Lonchura striata: one gene and its partners. The protein of the gene in region 2 interacts with the protein of the main gene of each other region in a pairwise test. Links are inferred from orthologs where the notes say so. Each region holds a gene or a part of one and is shown on either strand. Other genes may lie near its edges.

Evidence for each region.
Region 1: the proteins of GRB10 (region 2) and GIGYF2 interact in a two-hybrid assay, tested with the Homo sapiens proteins (2 studies listed by BioGRID). The link is inferred for Lonchura striata from reciprocal best matches to the Homo sapiens genes GRB10 and GIGYF2.
Region 3: the proteins of GRB10 (region 2) and IGF1R interact in a two-hybrid assay, tested with the Homo sapiens proteins (4 studies listed by BioGRID and IntAct). The link is inferred for Lonchura striata from reciprocal best matches to the Homo sapiens genes GRB10 and IGF1R.

The regions. Positions count from the first base shown.
Region 1 is NC_134612.1:7,095,199-7,103,027, forward strand, and holds the start of GIGYF2 (GRB10-interacting GYF protein 2), read left to right. Parts: upstream 1-4,808; 5' UTR 4,809-4,896; intron 4,897-5,760; exon of another isoform or gene 5,761-5,787; intron 5,788-7,829. UniProt on the Homo sapiens protein: Key component of the 4EHP-GYF2 complex, a multiprotein complex that acts as a repressor of translation initiation. In the 4EHP-GYF2 complex, acts as a factor that bridges EIF4E2 to ZFP36/TTP, linking translation repression with mRNA decay.
Region 2 is NC_134603.1:69,035,632-69,042,704, reverse strand, and holds the start of GRB10 (growth factor receptor-bound protein 10), read right to left. Parts: upstream 3,158-7,073; 5' UTR 2,980-3,157; intron 2,746-2,979; exon of another isoform or gene 2,654-2,745; intron 1-2,653.
Region 3 is NC_134613.1:20,974,062-20,981,960, forward strand, and holds the start of IGF1R (insulin-like growth factor 1 receptor), read right to left. Parts: upstream 3,137-7,899; 5' UTR 2,825-3,136; coding exon 2,731-2,824; intron 1-2,730. UniProt on the Homo sapiens protein: Receptor tyrosine kinase which mediates actions of insulin-like growth factor 1 (IGF1). Binds IGF1 with high affinity and IGF2 and insulin (INS) with a lower affinity. The activated IGF1R is involved in cell growth and survival control.

The DNA of each region.
Region 1 (7,829 bases), on a different chromosome or scaffold from region 2:
TTAATTTTTTTTTCCCAGAAAGAAACTCACCAGTCATCTTTTCACTTGTCTGTTTTGCTTCTTAAACTGTGAGCACTAAACTGTGAGCATGGAATAATAAATAGAAAAACCTCTACTCTTTAATGTCAGGTAAAGAATTGCTAAACGATTAAACTGTGTATATATCTTCACAGATTATATTTTATAAATCACGCTTTTGTAGCTAAATATTTATAATTAAATGTTTTTATACTTTACAAAAAAGCAGATAATTTCATCTTCAATTATTTCTCCTGTTGCAGAAATGTAAAAATAAAGCATTGTTATCTCCAGTCTTGTTTGTGGCTTATTTCAGGTCTTTGAATATAGCATTTTTCACAAATTTTAATAGTAATCCCCAAAGCTCAGCATCCTGACTTGGATGAGTGGGGGAAGTGTTCAGCCCCTTCTTGATAACACTTCCTCTTTTGCATAGCAGTTCTGGTGTAAAAAGCCTTAATGTTTGCATTCCCTCAGAAAGGCACATGGCTGTGTAAATACTTGAAATACTGCCTACTGCTAAATGTTGACATCTGAAGGTTGTCAGCCTTTCCTTATCTTAAAATAACCTGTCTCAGCCCCTGTAGTGCCCCAGCTGGGAGCTGGCAGGTTACTTCAGCTGGAATTCCCTTTGCATTTCCTGCTTCTGCCTTTATTAAGGGAGAAAAAAGAAAAATACATGGATACCTGAAAATATGTCTCCAAGCATTTTGTTTGTACTATTGCTGATCTACTAAGCTTTGCTGGCATTGCCACACTGAGAAGGGGGTTCAGGAAGAGGTTTAACCATGCCTCATTTCAGGTCCAGTGATGAAACAGAAGTATTTATATTCATCTATATTTTATATAGATGAATATAAATATATATATTCATATTCATCAATATAAATATTTTATCCCATGTATCTCTGCTCTATGCCAATACATTCACTGTGTCTATGAATCCTCAGGTCTCAGAGGTCAGGTAATATCTGGGTGAAGGTTCCTTAGTCTCTATTTCCCCAGGAAAATTGTGACACTGCAGCTCTTGATTTTTATTTTGGGGTGGTTTTTTTTTGTTTTTTTGTTTTTTTTTTTTTCTTTACAGCATAGCAAGCACTGCTGAGTTGTGCTGCTTTGCACATGCAGCTGGGTAAGGAGTCCAAACCTGCAGGAGAAGAGTGTGAAAAAAGGCTTTTCAGTGGTTTTATTTTAATAGAATTAAGTCAACTCTAGCTGACAAGTTTCAGTAAGGAAATTATCATTGTCTATGGTTTTGTTCAATTCAAACTGGTGCTGCTAGTTGGGACCTGCATTCAGTGCAATGAACAATAAGTGCTTTTGGACGTGCATTTATTTGGAAGTTGCAGAAATGTGCGTTTTGACATCAGCTTTGCAAAAATGGACATTAGGAAATGAATCACTTTCTAAATTGTTCTGTTTTACTGGCAATTATTTGATTTGATAACAGTGTCATTAGATTGTGTAGAAGTACTAAAGAGAAGTTGTCTAGCTGTATCTCCCACCTAAAACCATGTGAAAACACTTAGTTGTATTTACCTGTAATTTATCTACTACATCCTTGATGCTCTGTTCTTTTATGCCTGAGTCACCACAGGTGGCTCTCAAAGGTCCTGGCAATCCCAGCTCTTTAGTGGTGCCTGCTGGTATATTAATGCCTCTCTGGTATTTCTGACATGCCACAAGTGACTCTTAAGTTGGTGGCGGCAAGTAGAGAAGCTTGATGAAAAACTTGTTGCACTTGGTGGTCTTTCTCAGAAGGGATAAATACTTGCCTCAAGTCATTCATCTAGAATGGGAACTTCAGGTAGTCCTTGATCTCTGATGGGATTTTGTTTAACAAAACATTAGTTTGCCCAGAGTAGGCAAAATGCAAGACAGGAGTCACTAGCACTTCAGCCAGCACCAAAGGTGGGTTCAGCCTGTCTGGATGCTCAGATTGCAGTGGATTTCTCAAGGATGCTCCTGTCACAGTCATTGCCATTGGCTGCAGCGGACAGCCTATGGCAGCAGGAAGTCTCACCTGAAGAGCTTAGTGTGGTCACAGTGCAGAGAAAGAGAAATGGTGTGATCAAGTTCTTCCTGGCACAGGGTTTGGGGTTTATGTGTGAGGATTAAGGTGACAAAATAACACTTCAACCTTATGCGAGTGTCCAAATAAACCCAAGACATTCAGAAGTAATTGGGTGTTGCAGAAGTAGCAGCTTGTTTGTGGTACTCTGTCTTTCAGTACAAGCCACCTGAGGTGACAAATGCATTGAAGTGACTGACTTTAAAAACTGCAGTTGGATGTTTGCCTGCTTTGCTGCTGTTTTCATTATTTTTAGGGATGTGACAAATGAGGACATGGAAAACAGAGGCTGCTGAGAACATATTGACTCTTCCCAGACAAAATCCCTGGTTATTTCAACAAGCAGGGGAACCACTTTTCCAAGTAACAAAATGCAGGAGTGGCAAGGGGAAACATGACTCTGACACATTCTTCTGGGCTGCTTTGTGATCATTATTTATCATTTCAAAGCTGTGTTCTGTGTTCATAACTCGACCAGTGTACTGAGGGAGGTGGGCTCTTGCCTCCAAGCCAGAATGGATGAAAACAAGGGGTTAGTAAGGAAAGCTTGTAGTTTGTTGGGGAGGCAGCTTCCCTGTTCTTGGGTTTTTAATAGTGTGAATGAATTGGCACAGTAATCCAGGGCTCTGAAGTACATTATGCCCTTGGTACCCAGACTGGCTGCTGGGGTGATTTCACACCTACACAATATCAGCTGACATTCTGTCATTGAGCCAGTCAGGAATTTTACCACACGGGTACAGTCTTGAATTTTCATGAGATTCTCTCTGTTTTGCTTGAATGAGTTGTGGAAGATTTAAGATGCATCTGCTATTACCAAAAGATTGTCATCTGAGTTTCCTTAGAGGTATTTTACAGAAATGCCAAGTTCTGCAGATTAGGAATGTTTCAGATGCTTCTTGAATTTGAATTTTTTTGTCTCAGTAATATAATGTTTGTGCTAACTGGGATTAAAAAAATTTCCACAAGTGCTAAACATCTTCCATCTCAGATAAAAGTTGTCTTAGAGCATGTGAAAATATTTTTGAGTGCTCAAACTCACATTTGATAAGTAGAATAACAAGGCACAGCTGCTTCTGCAATGAAATTGGAAGTTCTCACTGACAGCTTGAAATGCAGCACTGTCTCTCTCTATCATTATTAGTATTGGCTCAAACTGTGTGACAACAACCAGGGGGATTGAATGCAGCTTATCAGAGGCCAGCCCTTTTCTAGGGAGCTTTGCTTTTCCATACCAGCCTCCTAATGGAGAAATTCCATTCTAGATTTTTTGGGTGAGGTAGTCCTATGTAGCTCTCAGCTAAAAATAAGCCCCAAGAATTACAGGCTTTCAACCCATTAGCTCATAAGAATCAGTAGTATTCACTGTTGCATCATTTTTGGCTATCATTCAGTACACAATGACAAGTATTTATTCACCTAGAAGAGGATGGAGAAAGCTACATGGGTTGTGGCTGACATCATGATTAGAGTGAAACTGTTTCAGCTGAAAACGGTTATACCTTCAGCAATGCGTAACAGCCAAGAATAGTTTTTTACGCTGAAGGAACCACATGGGGCTATTCTGCCTCATGTACTAATATGGGTTTGGGGACTAAAAATAAACTGGTATTTTTAGCTGAAGAAAGTTTGCCTTGAGCTGCTGATTTTTCCATCAGAAGAGTCAAAATATGTATCATCTAATGCGCTTTCTCTTTTCAGCAGCAACAGCAGCTGCTGCCACTGCCTCCCAGGGTGACTCCCACGGCAAAGTGTCCTCAGGGCTCCTCCAGTGCCCGGGCAAGAGCAGGTCTAGCCCTCGGTGCCTGGGCACTGTGTGCTCACACATGGTGGCTTCTCACAGAGATTGTTGTGGCCATCGATAAAATGGAATTGCCTCATGGAACCACACAGAAGAAACAGATAAGGCTGGGAGCCACACTGCGCTGCTGAGGCCGCCTGTGTGTATGTGTGAGAAGGTGGCAGAATCACGGAATCATCCAGGTTGAAAAAGACCTCTGAGATAATCGAGTTGAACCTGAGACTGCTCCCCACCTTATCACCCAGACCAGGGTGCCAAGTCCAGGTATTCATTGAGCACCTCCTGAAACAGGGACTCCACCACCTCTCTTAACAGCCCCTTCCAATGTCTAATCACCCCTTCTGTGAATAATTTCTGTCTAGTGTCTAACCTAAACCTCACCTGCTGCAGCATGAGACCACGTTCTCCTGTCCTGTCCCCGTTCCCTGGGAGCAGAGCCCAGCCCCCGGCTGCACCCTCCTCCCACAGAGAGTTGTGGAGGGCAGGAGAGGCCCCCCTGAGCCTCCTTGTCTTCAGGCTGAGTCCCGCCCCCAGCTCCTTCAGCTGCTCCTCGTCAGACTGGTGACCCTTCCTCAGCTTCGTTCCCTTCTCTGGACGTGCTCCAGCCCTTAATATCCTTCCGGAATTGAGAGGCCCAAATCTGGAGAGCGGACTCAAGGTGCGGCCTTACCAGTGCCGGGTGCAAGGGGAACTGAGGCAGCGGTTCGATTACCGGGGCTGCGGGCAGGGCGGGAGGCGCGGGGACCCCCGGCCCTGCCATCTCCCTCAGGGCTGGGGGGGCCGCGGCGGGCCCGCGCGGCCGGCAGGGGGCGCTGCAGACCCGCCCCTCTCCGGGATGACGTCACACGGGGGCGGGAAGCGCCTCTGCTTCATCCGGGTCCCGCGGCGGGGCCGGGGGGCGTGGCCTCGCCCTCACGTGACGCTGCGTGGCGGCGCACCCGCCATCTTGTGTTGTTGGGTTGAGGAGCCGCCGCGGCTGTGAGGGACTCTCCGCCCGGGAGCGCAGGTAACGCCGTCCCGCCGCCGCCCGGCCCCGCCGCTGCCCCGGCCGTCCCCACCACGCCCCCGCCGTCGCGCGCCCCGTCTGACCACCGGCCCTGCCGGCGGCTCCCGTCCGCCTCGGCTGCCGCAGCACCGAGGCGCCCCGCGGCCTAACCGGGAGGCGAGGCCGCCCAGGGGGGTGGGGGGGTGCGCCTGGAGGGCCCCCCCGCGCTCCCCATGGGCCTCTGCAGGGGTCGTTGGAGCTGGGGCGAGCAGGCCTTGAGCTCTCCGTGCAGGTCCTTGGTACTTGTCAGGCGGCGGCGGGGCCGCTCCTCACCGCCCTCCGGGGCCGTCTCCCCTCGCACTGACCCTTGTGAACTCGCTCGTCCCCTCCCAGCCCAGCGGGAGCGCCGCGGTGAGCCCCGCTTCGAGCACGCCCGGCCCTGTCGGGTTACACTGGCCGAGGAAGGAGGGAGCTCCGAGCCTTCCCCCGCGCAGGCAGCAGGGTGCTGGGAGCAGCGGTGACCGGCAGTGTTTGACTGGAGAAGCCTTGGCAGGCTGAAGAGAGCATCGATCAGAATTGTGTACGTTTGGTATTGATCCAAGACAAGTAGTTTCAGTGTCAACAGAGCACTTATGGCTCTTGCAGTTCTCTATGATTGCACTTTGAATTGACACAAGGTGTAGGCACAAAAGAGGTATTGCCCACTAGTGCTTCTGCAATAAAAATCCACATTTCCCCTAGTAACATTCAGTTCAACGTTTGTGGTGTGCTGCTTTTACTGTAATTCTTGAATATCTGTTTGCTTGGGTGGGTGGGGAAAGGACTTTTGGATTCTGATTATATTCCTCTAACTTCTTGCTGCACGTTTTATTTTTCTTGCTTCAGGAGCTGACTTGGGCAAGTTCCTGGAAAGTACGTGTGAATTTTTTTTCTTATGACTCTGCTGGTTGCTTTTGTTCTTAAGAAACTCTTCAATAAACAAAAATTAATTTGCTGTTATGTGAATGGAGCATTTGGTTGATACACAATGTGATAATTGGAAAACTTTGTAAACAAAATTGGTTGCAGTTGTCGCCAACAAAAGCTTTGTTTTGGTGTTTTTAAGTTTTGTTATTGGGTGGTGACTGCAGTAGATAATAAGAGCTTTATTGCAATGAGGTATTGGTTTTCTTGCCATGCATTTGAATAGGTATCCTATGAGCAGCTAGCTGATGCTGGTGTGAAAATGTGTGACCTAATTAATCCTGGGGGTGCCAGCAGAAATATTGAGTGTCCATGGCCCCTTCTGCACCTGCTTTGCTCCCCAGGTTCATGTAGTTCAACAGGTCAGTTGATGTCAGTGGTTGTGTGTTGGTGTTAATTTCTGAATGAATGTGTGATTAAAAAAAAAATAAAGTTTCTGTCTAATAGTCTGCTGGATTAAAGAGAAGGCAGAATTTTAGTCCTGGAAGTTGGATGTCACCTTTTATGTTGAGACTTTGATAAACTGTTTCAGTGTCTGACAATATTGTGGGTAAATACTGGGGTTGAATGGCTTAAAGAGCTTCTCAGGTTCTCCCAGCCCCCGGATACAGGAATATGCCTGAGGACACCTGGTCACTGCATTTCTTTTGGGGCCTTTTTCTGAATGGTTTCTTGAGCCTGTGTTTTAAAGCAGGAGCATAGAACTAAAATTTAGTGTGTTTTTGGAGAAGCAATTATTTGTTTCACAGGGTGCTTAAAAAAAATTTGATACCACAATGAAAACTTGGACTGTTTCTTTTTTAATAGGTGTTGACCTTGGCATTGTAAAATATCCTGAGGTACTCCTATTAGCATTTCTGCTTCTGTTTCTAAAATATACATTAAACTAAAGCTATGAGCCCTGTGATTATGTAAGTGAAAAAAAAAGTTTGTAGACAGTTGAGGGCTTTGTAATTAATTTTTTCCTTCCTGTTTTACTATTCAGTTTAGGAAGAAAGCTGTGTAAAAAGGGAATGCAAAGTAGGTTTTGGGTTTTTTAAGGAATTGAACCTAAGCAGCACTCTGTATCTCTCTGCTAAGGCCAGTTGTCTGAATGAAGTTCTGCTACAAACTGGAGTTCTTCATACCTGGATGTAAAAAAAAAAAAACACCAGCAGTTTTTTAAGCTCTATATATACTTCATTAAAATAAAAACAACCCTAGATGTCAAGAGTCCCATGGAACAAGTTGTTGGGACAGCTGAGTGGCTGAAGGCTGTGCTGGTACATCCCTCTGCTGAAAGATCTTTCTCTTTAAACCTCGAAGAGAAAACACTGGTTCACAGTAGCTGGTGAAGATGAGCTGTGCACTAAGATCTGTGCTTTCCCCTTTCCCCCCCAGCTCTGTTTATTTATTTTGATTACTAAGAATGTGAAATTTGATTTTGCCTACTTTTGTCTGGTCTTGCAAGTTCAAGTAACTGTCATATATATGTTTCTTATTCTTTCATTGAGGTCTTCAAAATTCTTCCCTCGGACTCTTCGAAGTATGGTATTAAGTTCTCTCATAATCTGATTTAGCAAACAAAAAATCCATTTCCTAGCAGTTTTTTCTTAATTTTTATTTTTTTATTAGTTTTTTCCCCTTCAGTGCTTCTGCTCAAATATTAGTGGAGATAAACTATACATAATTCATGATTATAGATGAAGCCATGGGGCAAAGCAAGGGAGCTTTCTCCCTACAGAGCTTGCTAGAGAGCCATTGGATGCCTTGGTGAGGAGAAACCTTTTTCTTTGTTTACTGAGGAAGCATTTGCCTTGAAAGAGACTCTTGCTTTGTGTGGTTTTCTCATCAATTTATATTAATTCATAGAGTGACATTTGAAATGCAAGGTGTGTGAAATGCTGCAGGGGGATGGGGTTTGCTCTTTCAGGAACGAAGTCAGTTTCCAGCCCAGCTTAGCCTCTCCTTGTGTCTCTTGCTCTCAATTCTGGACCTTTTTTTTTTTTTTT
Region 2 (7,073 bases):
CCCACATTTCAATGCTCTGAAGAAGCACCTGAGTGTATTTCACACACAAACACATACACACACTTCCTAAGACAGAGCTGAGCTGGTCTAAGCAGAAATTATACCTAGAAATCTGGCCTCATTTAGCACCATCACCTCCATAACCACGTGCAGAGAGGCACAGCAGAAGTGAGCAACAGTAGGGTCCCACCCAGAATGACACCAGCCAGGAGCCCCTCAGTTTGCCTGCTGCCACTGCTGTGAGCACCCACGGAAGCTGATGGTGCCTCATAGGCTAGAGGGACATCTGCTTGTTTGGGGCTGTCAGAAAATAAATTCCCAGCGCAACACTCTGGTGCTGCTGGCAGAAGCAGTGCATGACCCAGCTATGCCTCTCCTCTGCCAGCTGGGAACTCCCTGCCTTGGAAGGATACCTCTGCCAGAAAGATCCAGATACTTTTTACCCATTACATCCCAAGCACTGGTGAGAATGTAACCAAAGATTTCTAAAAAAACTTTCATAATAATTCTTGCTAGAGTCATTTAAGCACTCGCAAGACAGAGGGCTGCAAACACTTGTTTTATTCACAGAGTGCACACTATACACTTCAGCAGAACTGAGATGCAGAAATCCATTTTGCATTTAGGCAGAGCTTTTGGACTATGCATTAAAAAAAACAGGAACACGCTACTGAAATCCAGGTGTGGCTGTATGTGAGGATAAAAGCCAGCTCACACAGTGCTAAGAGAAGGGATAGTTTGATTAACAAAACCAAGGAAAACCATGGAAGTACCACAAGATCTTTAATATGTAGCCAGGGCAAACAAGACCTACTTTAAGAACAAATAACGTCCAAGTGAAGAAAATAAATCAGACCAGAACATGGTATAATGATCACCAGAGGCAAGCGTCACGGTCTGCTGCTCTGTCGGTTTACTGTTTGCAGGAAAGCTACCAAACAGTACTCTTCAGGCTCTGCTGTTTGCTCGACACTGTGCTGAATTTTAAAGAGTCCAGGAGTAGCGAAAGAAAACCCAGGCAGCTCTGATATTAACGTATACCTGTACAAAGATAGCCAGAGGAATACAGCTCTGGAACAGCTCTCCTCCTTATGCTGCTCTGAGAGGTTAAGCCCTGGAGGAAGACTAATAGCATGGGAAGAGCATCCTGCTTAACTCCCACACCCTGCTTCAGCCCCAAAAGCATCATGAAGCACAGCCAGAGCTCTCATCTAAAGTTTCAAGCATATTTCCTCTTTTCCAAGCAGATTTTCTAATCTCCATGTGTTTGTGGTGCTTTTTTTTTTTTAACCTGTCCTCGTAACGCACACGTTTTAATCCTAGGATTAGCTTTGTTGCCCTTCTCTGTACCTTTCTAGAGCTGTAAGTACAACTACTAGCCTCAGAACGCAAGAATAGATGGAGCTGGAGTGTTAATGCATCCCACAACATCTCTGTTAAAACACACATGCACCTTTAAGAGGCAAAACAATTTCAGCTGCCCCTTAGAAGCATAACTGAAGGTGGCAGATGCCCACATCCCTTCTATTCTGCCCCCTCCTGCTTTGCCCCAACCCCAAATTCATTCTGTCTTGGTGAAGAGAAAAGCAAACCACATTATTTGAGTCTGTTTTAGACGACATGATCAATGCTGCTTTGACATACCAGCAACACATGTTCCCATTTCAACAAATGGGAGCATTTCAGGCAGACCACCACTTCAGATGGAGTGGGGCTCCTGGCTGCTGAATCAGCACTTTCCATCCTGCTGGCAATACAGAGTTATGCGACGCTTCAAAGGAAAGCGGGGAAAAGGGGGAAAGGGGTGGGAGGGGGCGCTGGCACTTGAGCAACAGAAGCGGGCAAGAGGATTGTGCAGGAGTTCATCTGCCAAACCAATTAACTGCAAACTGTTCTTATAAAGATGCCACAGTTTCAGCCCCGGCTTGCAGCGCCGCGGTTATACAAGGAGAGCCACGGGTACCCGCCTCTCCCCGGCGGGGAGCTGGGGCAGGAGAAGCTCCGCGCTTCCCGCAGGGAGGGTCTCCCGGGCTAACGAGGGGCTGTCGGCACGGCCGGGAGCTCGGCAGGGCCGCTCTCCGGCGGGCACACGGCCGCCTGCCGCCGCACATCCCCACCGCGGAGGAGCAGGAAGGCGGCAGCACCCCGGGGTGGCATTTCTGCGAACTGCCCATCCGCCAGCCCTCCCGCAAACCCCAAACGGAGCAGGGGGAAAACCGGGGAGTTTCAGCGGCACCACCAGCAGTTGGCGGGGCAGGTCTTCGCTCTCCTCCAGCGCGGGGCGACGGGAAAGCCCGGCTCCCGGCACCGCCGGGGCGAGGCGCGCAGCAGCGAGCGAACAAAACGCGGCAAGGAAGCCCCGAGACGGGAAAAAGGGCCGATCCTCCGAACCCCGAGGCCGCCGGCGAACCCCGGCCGGCCCCGGGGGCTCCGCGCCGGGCGGGGGGCGCTCCCCACGGGAACTGGGAGGGGGGGGCTCGCCGGCGGCCCCAGGAAAAGGAAGTTTGCTCTCCTCCTCCTCCTCCCACCGGCCTCCGCTACCAAGAAGCCGGCGAGCCCTCACCCACCCCGGCCCGGCCTCACCCCGCTGCGGCTCCCCAGGGGCGGCGGCCGCCGCCCCCCTGCGCGCCCCCGCCGCCCCCCGGCCCCTTACCTGCTGGGCGGGCAGGCGGCCGGCACCGTGCCCGCCGGGCGCCGCGCACCCGCCAAGTTCGGGGCGGGCGCAGGGGGTCGGGGGAAGGGTCGTGCGCGGCGGGGACGGGAGCGCGGGCGGGGAGGGGGATCCTCGGGGCGGAGGGGTGGAGTGGGGCGCGGGCGGGGGAGAGCGATCTCTCGGAGCCACGCGCCTTAAAACCAACAATAACAAAAGAAAAAATTAAAACAGAAAAAATATTTAAAACCATACAATTAAAAAAAAAAAGCAATTAAGTAAAAAAAAAAAAAAAAAAAGAAAGAAAAAAAAAAAAAAGCAAAACACACCCAACGCGAACGGGGACGTTCGCGCCTCCGCAAGGCGTCCCCAGGCTGCGGGAGGGGTCTGCGGAGAAAACTTCTGCCTGCCTGTCCGCGCCGCCGGCTCCGGTGCTAACGGCGCCCGCCGCCGCCGCGTTCTCCCCTCGCGCCCAGCTGACTCCCGGCGGGCCCCGCCCCGCTCCCGCCCCGCTCCCGCCCCCGCCGCACGCAGCCGCAGCCCCGGCCCGCGCCCCGCCGAGGGCAGGGGGCGGCCGGGAGCCCCGGCGGCCGCGGGCTGTGTGGCGGCGGCGCCCCTGCCCGCCCTCCCCCGTCCCGGGGCGAGCGGCGCTGGAGGCGACACGTCGTGGAGCTGTGGCGGGTGTCCTGCCCTCGAACAAAAGCTCACCCGCAGGTAGCACCGGCGCGTGCTTTTCTTGGGAAAGGCTGTTTTTTCTTTAAAATAAAACCAACAGAGCATCTGCACACGCGAGGCATTTGTGCTTGGACTTTTTCTTTAAAGTCGTCGGTCCTGTTCTCACCTTTTTCCCCGCAAAACTGCGCAGGGCAAGTCCCCCAGATCCCCTTCCTTCGCTCCCGACAGCACGGAGCAGGCTCCCGGTGTGTGCCGACAGTACGGTGGGCTCTTCAGAGCTCCTCCGTACTCCAAAGCACCCTGCCCTCCCGGGATCCGCAGGCTGCCACTAGCACTCCTACAGACTGCTGCTGCGAACTTCTGTGCGCTGGGACCTTCGCTATTGCACCACGGTAGCTCCGAGCCATCCGATTTGCAAGTAGCTTGCAAATAACTCGGACTGTGGAAAAGCTCTTTTAAGGGAAGCAAAACTGCACGCTTCCCTAAGAGCTACTGGTTTAAAACGTATTGACTTCCAATAAGAGCCGTCACACTCTGTGAGGAGAGGAATATTTACTTCACTAGATGCAAAAACACCTCTCATAAGAAAGTGGTCAACTCTATAAAAGGCAATTGAGTCCAAGGAGAAGAGGGAGAAATCTCTGGGCTTTTCTTCCTAGACAGATGCATGTACACTAATGGGAGTATTGTGGCTGAGCGCCCGAGCTGAATATATTTTGAAATGTAACATGATACCTTCTTTGCTCTTGCTTTCTCTTCCTCCGTGGCTCTTCTTTACTGTATATAAAGGAATGCTTTTCTTATCAGCCCACACTCCGGTCCCCGTTGTTTCCAACCATGCTCTGTTCTCGCTCTGTTCTCACCACTCGCTCTCCCTGTTCAGGTCCTCGAATAATCTCTCCAGTCTCCTTCAATGTGTCACCTCAGCCTCTTGGACACACGTGCCACTCTGCTGCCTGCTCGCTGCTCACCGTGCTCACCAGCCGCCTAGCCTCTCCTCGGCACCGCGCTCCCCTCGGCCATCTCCACTTGATGCAGCGCTGAGCGTTGCTCTTCAGTCTGTCAGCATCACTGCTGCCCGTCCTGTCCTGTCCTGCCCCAGTCCATGGGGCCGTCACTTCCCAGCCTCGTTCAGCGCTCCCTTCCCACCGCCAAGCTGCTTTGTCCCGCCTTCCTGTGAGCCAGCATTCACCCTGATCTTGCGTTTTGTGGGTCCAGCCTCAGAGTGTTGGTGCCTCACCAAAGCAGAAGCTGTCTCCTGTCCAGGTTACTATTTAGTGAAAAGGTGAATGCAGGTGGTATCAGATTCTGCCTGAGATTTCTCCAGAGGCAAGAAGGCACCTACTCACAGTAGGCTGGCATCACAGCCCCACATGCTTACATAAGAAACTTTCAGTACAGATAGATCCAGCCTAGATAGGAAGGGAACGCCAAAGATCAACTGGCCCAGCTTTTTATGGGAAAGGGATGAGATTATCACCCTGTCCAATTGCATCTTGAAAGCCTCAAACTGTGGGGACTCCACCCCACCCCTGGAGATGATTTCCCTGTGGGTGATTGTTCTAACTCTAAATTTTTTTTTTCAGTGAATCAAAATCAATGTGAAACCTCTCCTCGTGAAATTTGTACTGTTGCCGCTTGTCTGCTCCCTGTGCCTCCTTGTGAAGGAAAATCTCCATCTTTTTTGCAGCCATGCATGTACCTGTATGATTTGACCAGGTTTTGTGCAATAGGTGTCCAGTTTGTGCTGCTTTCGCAGAACCCGCTGCTGTGGGCATGGTCAAGGACTTCAACACATGCCTCTTCCACACGCTGTTTAATGCTATTTGCCCCCTGGCACATTCCTTAGCTGCGCAATGCAACAGTTATACTTTGTCATCTGTAGTATTTCCACCCTAGAATATCAATTTACAGCCCTGCGTTACAGCGTGTCCTCAAAAAGTGAGAAGTGAAGGGAGAGAAATTATATAACTGGTCTGGTGCTGCAGAGCCAGCCAGCCACCAGCAGGATTGCATTGCAGGGATTCCCATCTTCTAAAACATCCTCTTCTTCCCCGAAAGTCCTGCTGCCTCAATCACTAAGGCAGTTTGCACTCTCCATCTTGAAACCAGACCACCTTTATGACCGTGATGCTCTGCATCTGACACTGAAGGGAAACTGGAGGGATAAAGCTCAGGTATTTTTGAAGCATCACGCAGGCAACTACCTGGCTGCCTTCCAGTATGCTCTTCCTTTGAGTGTGCTCACTGTTTCTCATATATAAGACTGCTGATCCATCAGTTAATCATATTAAGTACCTAAAATTAACTTTTAAATTATTAATGCATGAGAACATATCCGTTTGTCATGTACATTATTTTAAAGGATTACAGTGTGTACACTGAGTGTCATTAACATTATATTTTGAAGACAGTAAATTGACTTGTATAGAAGTCAGAAGAGTTGATGGACTTCTCTAAAGATGTCTTTGACAATGATAAAATGTTCAATTGAGTTATTATTAAGCATGTGTCTGTACTTAAATCTCTTTCTAATACATACAGAAATGACTCCTCAAGTCTTATTAGTATAATATTTTTCATTTTGTGGTGGGTTAAAAACATAGATACACATGAATATTGGAAATACTCATCTGACAAATAAAAACACTAGGAAAGATATGTTTAGTTTCCTAGACTACAGCTGTGTCATTCAAGACAAAACTGTACTGTCATAAGATTGTTTATCCAAAATAGCACCGCTAAAATGGTTAAGTGGAGAAATAGCAATGCATTTTTTCAGTAGCAGTGAAGGACATGCTTATCTTTTCTCTTAAATAGTGAATCTCTGGCAACACCCTACACAATTCTGTATTGTGAAAATAACAGCCTAAAATGCTGATATTTTCCTTAGGAAGAAAAGATGATCATTTTCTGAAAGAAAAAGCACACAAGAAATAATGTTTGCAATAATGTACTCTGACTATGTAAACATTTTTCCTGCTCAAGGACAGTCCAAAAAGTAAAGGCAAACAGCCTTGGCAAAAGCCTTGATGCCTTCAGGACTTTGTACCCAGGAGAAGTTTGTCCCAGCTCCCTGTTTTCTTCTTCTTTCCGCAGTGGTTAAGTTTTGGGTTAGAGAAGACAGATTCCTCTGACCCATGATGGAAAAAGAAGATGGAAGAACTAATGAGACTCTCTGGCTATGCTCAAGGGAATCCAAGCCACTGGGGGAGAAGAGGACAGGACGTGCAGTCCCATCCTAGCTGAAGAGGGTCTTGCTGCCCTGCAGCTTCCAAGCTCAGAACCTGTGGTGCAACTGGACTGAGGATATCATTATAGTCTCTTTTTTGTCTACCTCAAGATACCCAGAAAGCCCAGAAAAAGCTCTTTTTGCCATTTATGTGCCTTAGGAAACTTGCATTATTGCAAGTTTCTCATGTGTTAGATCCAAAATACAAGCAGAATATAGGCATTCTCTCTGTACTTAGCACTACATTTAAGACTCAATACCTCATAATAAATGGCTGCTGGAGTTCAAGTACTGTGGACCTGGTTTGCTTTCTGCAGACTTGAACTCTGTAGGGTGACTTCTCATTTTGAAACCTAGCCAAAGGACACTAAGCTCACAATTCAGTTAGTTCCAAGAGAGAAAAAGGTCATTCTCATGTTTTATTAAATAGATTAATGAAAAACTGTCTAGTAGATATGAAATTTTCTTTAGAAACATTATTATATTTCATATATATACTGAGAAAAGGTGTAATTT
Region 3 (7,899 bases), on a different chromosome or scaffold from region 2:
TCTCTCCCCTCCAGTTGTAACTCCTTTGTATTCCTATTTAGGAATGCCTTGCTTGTTTGACCGAAAATGGAAGTGCCTTTTAGCTATGACACAGTATATATGAAAAACAAATAAAAATTAAGATTAATCTTCCTTCCACTATTATGGGGAGAGAGAAGAATATGAAGAGATGTAAAACATCTGCTCTGGAGATCATTTTTCCCCCTAACAGCAAAATTCTTTCAGCAATAACTCGTGAAAACAAAGGCTATTAAACTGTAAACTACAAAGGCAATCGATTAGAGGCAGTATTCAGCTAAGACAAGTTTTTCAGCATATCTTCCCGTATTTAAATGCCTGGATCTTCTTCAGAAGATATTTCATTTGGGATGTTCATTTTAGGTAAGTGGTAACCACAAACACTTCAGAGGACTAGAACCTAAAATCCTGACATACTCTTCCTGCGTTACTTCATTGTTGGGTGAGCATTTTTATTTCAAGGTACTTTGTACCAGGTAAGACAAGGAAAACAATTCTAAGTGTGTATCCTAGCAGTTTAAGGATGCATCAAATCTCCTCCTCCTCCTGTTCTGTTTCTCCACACTACTGGATCCTTTGTAAGCCCTTCCCTGAAGAAGGGCACGGGGGTTTTGTTTTTGAACTTAAAGATTAATCTCCCTTCTTGAAAACAGCTCTAGCCAAAAAGTTCAACTCATGGAAGTAAGACTGCAGCTCTCCAGCCGTAGCTGGCCCAAAAGCCTAGACTGGGCCTTAATTTGCAAGGAGTTAACAGGCATTTACTGCCTAACGAAACATAATTATTACTCAACATGCATTACAGGCTCCGTCTATGTGCTTCTTGCTCACTTATCTTTTTTTGTGTACTTGGCCTCACTGCCAGTGCATCCAAAGAACTTCCCTTTCTTTTCAATCTGAAACCACTACTTGTAGAAAAGCCCTCCTGCCTCCTGAATTCCTTCCCTTTACATTTAAAATGGAGAAATCTGATCTCCTCGTTCCTTCCCTCCAACAGCGCATATCTTTCTGAAAGGGAGAGGCACACAACAGCTCCAGGAGTGTATTGAAAAACACACGGCAGAAGAAATTAAAGCATCAGGATGCAGTACAGGAACATCCCTGTTTCTGCAGACGCTGAAGGAGAGGGAGCACTGTTTAAAATGGTTGGGCTCCAAGGCACATTTACCATCTCCCCGTATACAGAAATACTCCAGGAAGAAAAGGGAAGGCTAATTTCATGCAAGAGATCCTCAATCCAGCGTGAGCCCGACATACCAGGAGAAAACCGATCAGCCCCGGGATTAATCCGGCGATGATTGCAGTGTAATCAATGGCAGCGCAGCCCTCCCTGCCCCCTCGATTCCCCCTGCGCCCGAGAGGGGCGGGCACTGCAACACAATCACAGGTTGGGAACGCACAAAAACAAAGTCGGGGCTCTGGCAGCTCCCGAGCGAGGCGGGCGGGCGCGGGGATGGGCAGAGGCTCCGCGGCAGGAGGGAGCCGATCCACGTTCTCCCGGTGCTCCCGGGGAAGCGGCTCGCACGCTGCTCCAACCTCGGCGCTGGCTGCAACACGGCCGCTTGGAAAAATGCATCCCCCTCAGATCGCAGCCCGTTCCGCCATCAAACCTTTCTATTTACGCACAAACGTCAATGTGCGAATTAATTCCCTTTTTAAAATTAACGGCAGCCCGTGACCTTTAGATTGCGGGATGCCGCCGTAATTCCGCACACAGCGAGTGAAACCCCTCCTCGGCGGTAAAAGGCAAGGCGTTCATTTCCAGGAATTCCTCACTCACTACAGCAGGTTCCTGCATACAGCCTCTAAATATTGACAGAGATCAAGCTCCTTCCATGAGGGGGAAAGCGAGCGGAGTCCTCCCCAGCCCGCGAGTGTTTACTACGCAGCTCGCAGCCCTGGCTGCGGCGCCTGAGCGCTGCCCCGCGCTCGGGGGGGACACAAAGGAGGGGCACGGCCCCCTCCGCCGGGCTCGGGGCTGCGGCGCTGCCGACCCGTGTGTACAGCCAGGCAGCCGCCTCCCGGGGAGGAAGGCGGGCATGGCAGGGAGGGAGACGCGCAGCCCCGGGTTGTTAAACGTGCTGGAGGAGCAGACGCGTAACAGGAGGAAAACACGCAGAGCCCCGCGGGCAGGGGCGAGACCCGCTCGGCGCCGCGGCGGGAAACGGCGGGAGCGCCCCTCACAGCCGCGGGCAGGGAGCCCTCGCACGGGCCCCGGGGCCAACAGGGACCCCCACAAGGACAGGGAGCCCCTCGCACACAGCCCAGACACGCAGGGAAGCCCCTCACGCACACACACGGCGAGGGAGCCCCTCGCACAGGGAACCCCCTCGCACACACGGGGAACCCCTTCGGCAGCCCCCTCTCACACACACACACACCCAGGGAGCCCCTCACGCACACACCCAAACACAGGGAGCCCCTCACGCATCCCCACACACGCAGGGAGCCCCCCCCATCACCAGCCCACTCACACACATTCATACAGGGACCCCCCCTCACATACACGCGCAACACCCACATACACACACACACGTTCACACAGGGACACGCACACACACAAGGGAGCCCCCCACACACAAACACCGGTACCCCTCACGCCCCCCCAAACACGCACAGGCAGCCGCCGCCCTCGCCCCCTCCCCGGCAGCCTGACTCGGGGGCTCCCTCACCGCGGGGTGCCCCGCAGCACCCCCGGGCACGCACTGTACTCACTTTCCCCATTTGTTGGCCACAGACAAAGTGCGGCGAAAACGAGCAGGAACCCCCAGACGACGGCGAGGGACCCTCCTCCAGCGCCAGACTTCATTCCTCTTTCTTTAATTGGACAAAATCCCCCTTTCCGAAAACAAAACAAAGCAAAAAGAAGTCCAAAATTGTTCGCTTTCTTTCCTCTCCCCGTCCTCTAAAAATAACGAGCGGCGGAGGAGCAGCGGGGCAGGGTAAATAAATCCACGTTGCCTCAAGAAATGAAGGAAAAAAAAAAAAAGGAAAAAAAAAAAAAACCACGACCCTTCGGAGCGGCAAACCGGAGGGTTGTTGAGGTCCCTGGGTGTTGATCTTCCGGAGCAAGCACACCAAAAATACACAGATATTCACGATGTATTAACGGCAACAACAAGGCATGGAAGCCCCGGGGCGACGCTGTCTCCGGGGCGGCGGGGCGGGCTCGGGGCGGCGGGCGGGGGGCGCCGCCGTCTCCCCTCAGCGCTGGCTGCGGTGGTACATCGTGCACAGGAGCCGCAAACACGAGGCACATCGGGGCTGGCAGTCGGCATCTTCAACCTCCATTTTCAAACACCGCACACACGCACACACACAGAGACACAAAAACTGGGAGGGCCGCGGAGGGAGGGGAAGGGGGGGGCGCGACCCAGACAATCCTATTACAAAACAACAACAGCTCCGCCGTCCCCCCGCGCGGGGACGGGGCTGCCCCGGCGGGATCCCCGCGGCTCCGCTCCCCGCTCCGCCGGGGAGGGTGGGGGGGACACCCCACGCACAACCACCACCCACAACAACACCGCCGCCGCCACCACGAGTCCGGCTGCCTGCAGAGGCTCGAAATGCAGAATTTGGGTCGAAAATGAATTAAAAAGGCTTCCCCCCCTACTCCTCCTCTTCCTCTCCTCGGCGCGGCTGCCACAAGGTCCTTCTCAAAAAAAAAAAAAAAAAAAAAAAAAAAAGAAGAAGGAAAAAAAAAAGAGAAAAAAAAGCCGAATCCAGGACACACACACAAAGCAGCAGCAGCAGCGGCAGCAGCAGCGGGGCGAGCGGAGCGCTCAGCACCCCGCCTCCTCCCCCCGCAGCTCTCCTCTTCGCATCCCTCCGAGCCGCCTTGCCATCGCGGCGGGGGCGGGGGGGAGGAGGACGACGACAACAACAACAACAACAAAAACCACCCAGCGAATTTGTAAATCCTTTTCCTTTTTTTTTTTTTTTTTTTTTTTTTTTTTTCCTTTCCTCCCTTTCCTCCTCTTTTCCCTCCTCCTCTGGGTGCGCGCGCGCTGCGAACCTTCCCCCGGCGCTGCCCAGCCCAAGGCAGGGGGAGGGGGATCCGGGAGAGGTGTGGGGGTGTGGGTGTGTGTATGTGTGTGAGTGTGAGCAGGGGGGGCTGCGGGGGGCGAGGAAGGCGATCCGGTTTGCTGAAGGTCAAACCCCAGGAGCTTGTTGCGAAGGGTCTGTAATTCCTCCGGGGAGGGAACGGGGCGGGGAGGGAGACCGGGGGGGGGGGGAAGGGTCTGCTGCTCTGCTGCTCCTCCCGATTAATTCGCCGCTTGCTTGCAGCAGGGTTCGCAGCGCTCTGCTGCCGCGTCTGCCCCCCCAATCCTCCTCCTCCTTCTCCTCCGCGCTGCCTCCCTGTGCACGACGGAGAGCGAGCGCTGGTAAACAAGAGCTCGGCGTCGCTCCGCCGGCGCTTCTCCGCTCTGCGGCCGCGCGGGGACGGGGCTTGCGCCCGCCCGCCTTCCCTTCCCTTCCCTTCCCTTCCCTTCCGCGCGCGCTCCCGTTCCCCCCCCCGGCTCCCCCCGCCCAGGCGGCGGCGCCGGCGGCGCGCGCGGAGGCGGCGGCGGCGCGAGCGAGCGCCGAGAAAAACCCGGAGCGGAGCGGAGCCGGACCGGGAGGATGCTGCACCTCGGGATGCTGCGGGGCCGCCGCCGCTCCTGCCTCTGCCCCGGCCTTCCCAAACCGGGAAACGGCAGCAGGAGACCTGGGGGATATGCAGCGAGCATCCTGCGGGGCGGCGGGAGAGCCCACGAGCGAGCCCTGCCAGTGGAAACACTGCTATGTTCCTGACAAATAAATAAATATATTCAATTAAACATATAAAAAAGGCAGGGATGGGATTAGGAGGAAGGAGAAATCCATAGCTGTGATTTTTGCATGGCGTGTTTGTTTATTTATGGCATTTAATGGAAGCTGCTCCTCAGTTTCATACTGAGGACAGGGCCAAGGGCTGAGCCCGGAGCGCTGCTCCCAGGGATGCGGGTCAGGAGCGAGGGACAGGGATGCCAAGGCTTGGCCCAGTGCAGGCGACAAACCACGGTGGAACACGCCCCAAGAGCACGCCCCCATTCACACTCGCCATCCTCTCCTCACACGCTCACCATCCCCATCCAGCCCTCCAGCATTGTCACTCCGTTTCTCAGCTGCTCACTCGTACCCCTCGATGACATTGGGCACCCAGGCCCCAAATGATGGGGACATGGGATGAGTTGGAGCAGAAAAGGTTTGGGCTTTTCAGACTCGGAAGACATGGGCCGTGTTCCCGCTGTTTCGCTGGAGCTCGTAGTAGCCATGCTGTACGGCATATGGGTGTCCTGAGTAATCACAGATTTGTTGCAATACTTTGGCATGGGGAGATAGCAAAATGATGCTGAAGTATAAGAAAGCAGACATCTGTGAGCATTAGCTATATTCTAGGCTGTTGGTTGTTTTTTTTTAAAAAAAGTACATTAAGAAATTCGCAAATGTCACATTATTAATGCAAATGTCAAAATTAAGTTTTTACATTTAAACCTGAATTCTTGAGCATCTTGTATTACAATATCCTTCATTGACACTACCCCATCATTTCCAACAACCTTGTACTGTACGTGTTTTTCTTCTTGTAGTTTTCCCATCCATTCTTCTACTGTTTGCCTTGTGAAAATGGTCCTGTTGTCTGAATTACTCATTAGCTCTTGTACTCCTTAGGAAAGATGGAAATGTTCAATTCTGTGTCACAGAAATTGAAGGGAAGATCCTCACTGAGTACAACAGGGCTAGGATTGCCACATGAGCACACCTATGCAGGACTCTGTCAATAATTCAAGAATAACTCAAAACTATAACCCTCCCGAGATTCCCTGTAGGAAGATCAGACATTTTCACCTGAAACCATCCTGGACTGCCACATGTGTGGTTGGTTGATTTTATCAACCACACACAGGCTCTCATGTCCTCAAATTGAACCAGAGAGATCTTCATGTGCCATAAATTTTTACTGTTGCTGGGTACAGCTGTGGCTGCTACGGGCGCCGGTTCTGAGCAGAACAAGTGTCCTTTCTATGCATGTCATGGCATTGATGCAGCATAAATTGTAACGTCTTATTTGCCAATTAATGTCTTGCTGTGTAAAGACAGAGCTGAAGTGGGAACTGCGTGTCTATCCTTCATCATTCTGCTGTCATAAAGAACTTTTATTTTTGTCAAATAGCCTTTCTTTCGTTACTTTGGTGAATGGGGTGTCATGGACAAGCCCATTGTACTGGGTGATGTACAGGCAGAGAGCAGAAAGATGTGCTGTGCCCCAAAAGAGCTTCCAGTCTCATATAAACACAGCCCTATAGGTGTTGTAACATAGTTTATTTCTGGAATCTTTTGGATTCTTTTAAAAATTTAAAAAAAATATGGTAATAACAGCACATTTTTGAACAGGAGGTGTTTGCAGTGCTCTCCATCCTCCTGAGCTCCTGATGTGAAATTCATAATTTGTAGTTATCTGGCTGGATTCTGTCAGGATGTCTTTATTTTATTCTGTGGAAGTATGCGGGAGGAATCCCTTTTTCTGTGAATGCCCAGGTGCCCATAGCTCTGGTCTCTTAACCTCTTAAGAGGAGAACTGTGCACAATCTTCAGCTTTCCTCATTCTTTTCTGTGTTGAGCAGCTTCCAGTGCCAGCCAGGCACTTGCACATGCTCAGCTTTAGAGCACCCTTTCAATCAGATCTGGCTCTTGTATGTTGGCATATTTCTCCAGGAAGGCTCCTGTTCTTTTCAGTGGATATATTTAAATCAGGATTTTTCAGTGTGTACAACCACACCATGGTTATATCCTTGATGATGAAAACCTCAAGCACACTGTCCCTGTACCATGTGTAAAATTAAAGTTATAATTTGGACAAATTAAAGTTAATTTTCGTAACAAGGTGCTTCACGAGTAAATCATAAAATGGTGTCTCCTCTTCTCTGTCCTATGGGTTCTACAATCATTCCTCCTCTCTGTTTGCACTAGGCTTTTGCTCCCCCTTTGTCCACTGCTGGTTTATGGTCCCCGAGATAGATGGACAGAAAGAAACACCTGGTTACACACACACATTTTACCCTCTAGAGCGTGATGCTGAATGCCACCAGCATACCTGTGTCCTGTTTAAAATACCACTTAAGTGGAAAACTCAGGAAATGTGGCAGTGGGGATGAAACAACGTGGTTAAAACAGCCACTGACCCCGGTCTCTCAAAACATATATCTGCCCAAGGCAAATATCCTCACACTCAGCCATACTTTTGTTTTAACAGCAGCCTCACCACTGCTTTCTGGGGCCACCACTGGGGAGGAAGAGGCCTCATCATTCCCCTGCCTCGGTGCTCGGACTCCATATAGGCTTGACTAGACTTTATTTTGGCTTCTGCAGCACATTCAGGGCAGCCTGACCTCTTTACCAGACGCTTGCTTGTCATAACCTTTATGCATCTGAACATTTTGTATTACCGGCAGAAGGAGCTGCTGAAATTTGTTCTCCTGCCTTCTCCAGCCGTGTCAGCTCCCCGGGATGAAGGTCAGCCATCACAGAGCACTGCCTGAGTCTGCTCCAGGGGCTGCTTTTTGGAATGTCTCTGCAGCTCCTGGCCCCTGCCGTGGGCCAGCAGCTGAGAGCACCCACTGCAGCCACCTCGCCTGCCCCAGGAGCTGCTGGTGCTGCCAGCTCACCTTGTTCAGCCTCTGCTCCAGGCTGAACGCTCTCCTTGCGGGGAGGTGCGGGTAGGTAAGAGTTCCAGGTGGGAATTGTGCCTGGGTGAGTGATACATCTCTTACACAGCCTGGGGAGTGGGTTTTGTACACCTGAAAGGCAAACAGAAATCCTTGGAATTCACTCTTTCCCCCCCTCCAAATCTCCCCTTATAAA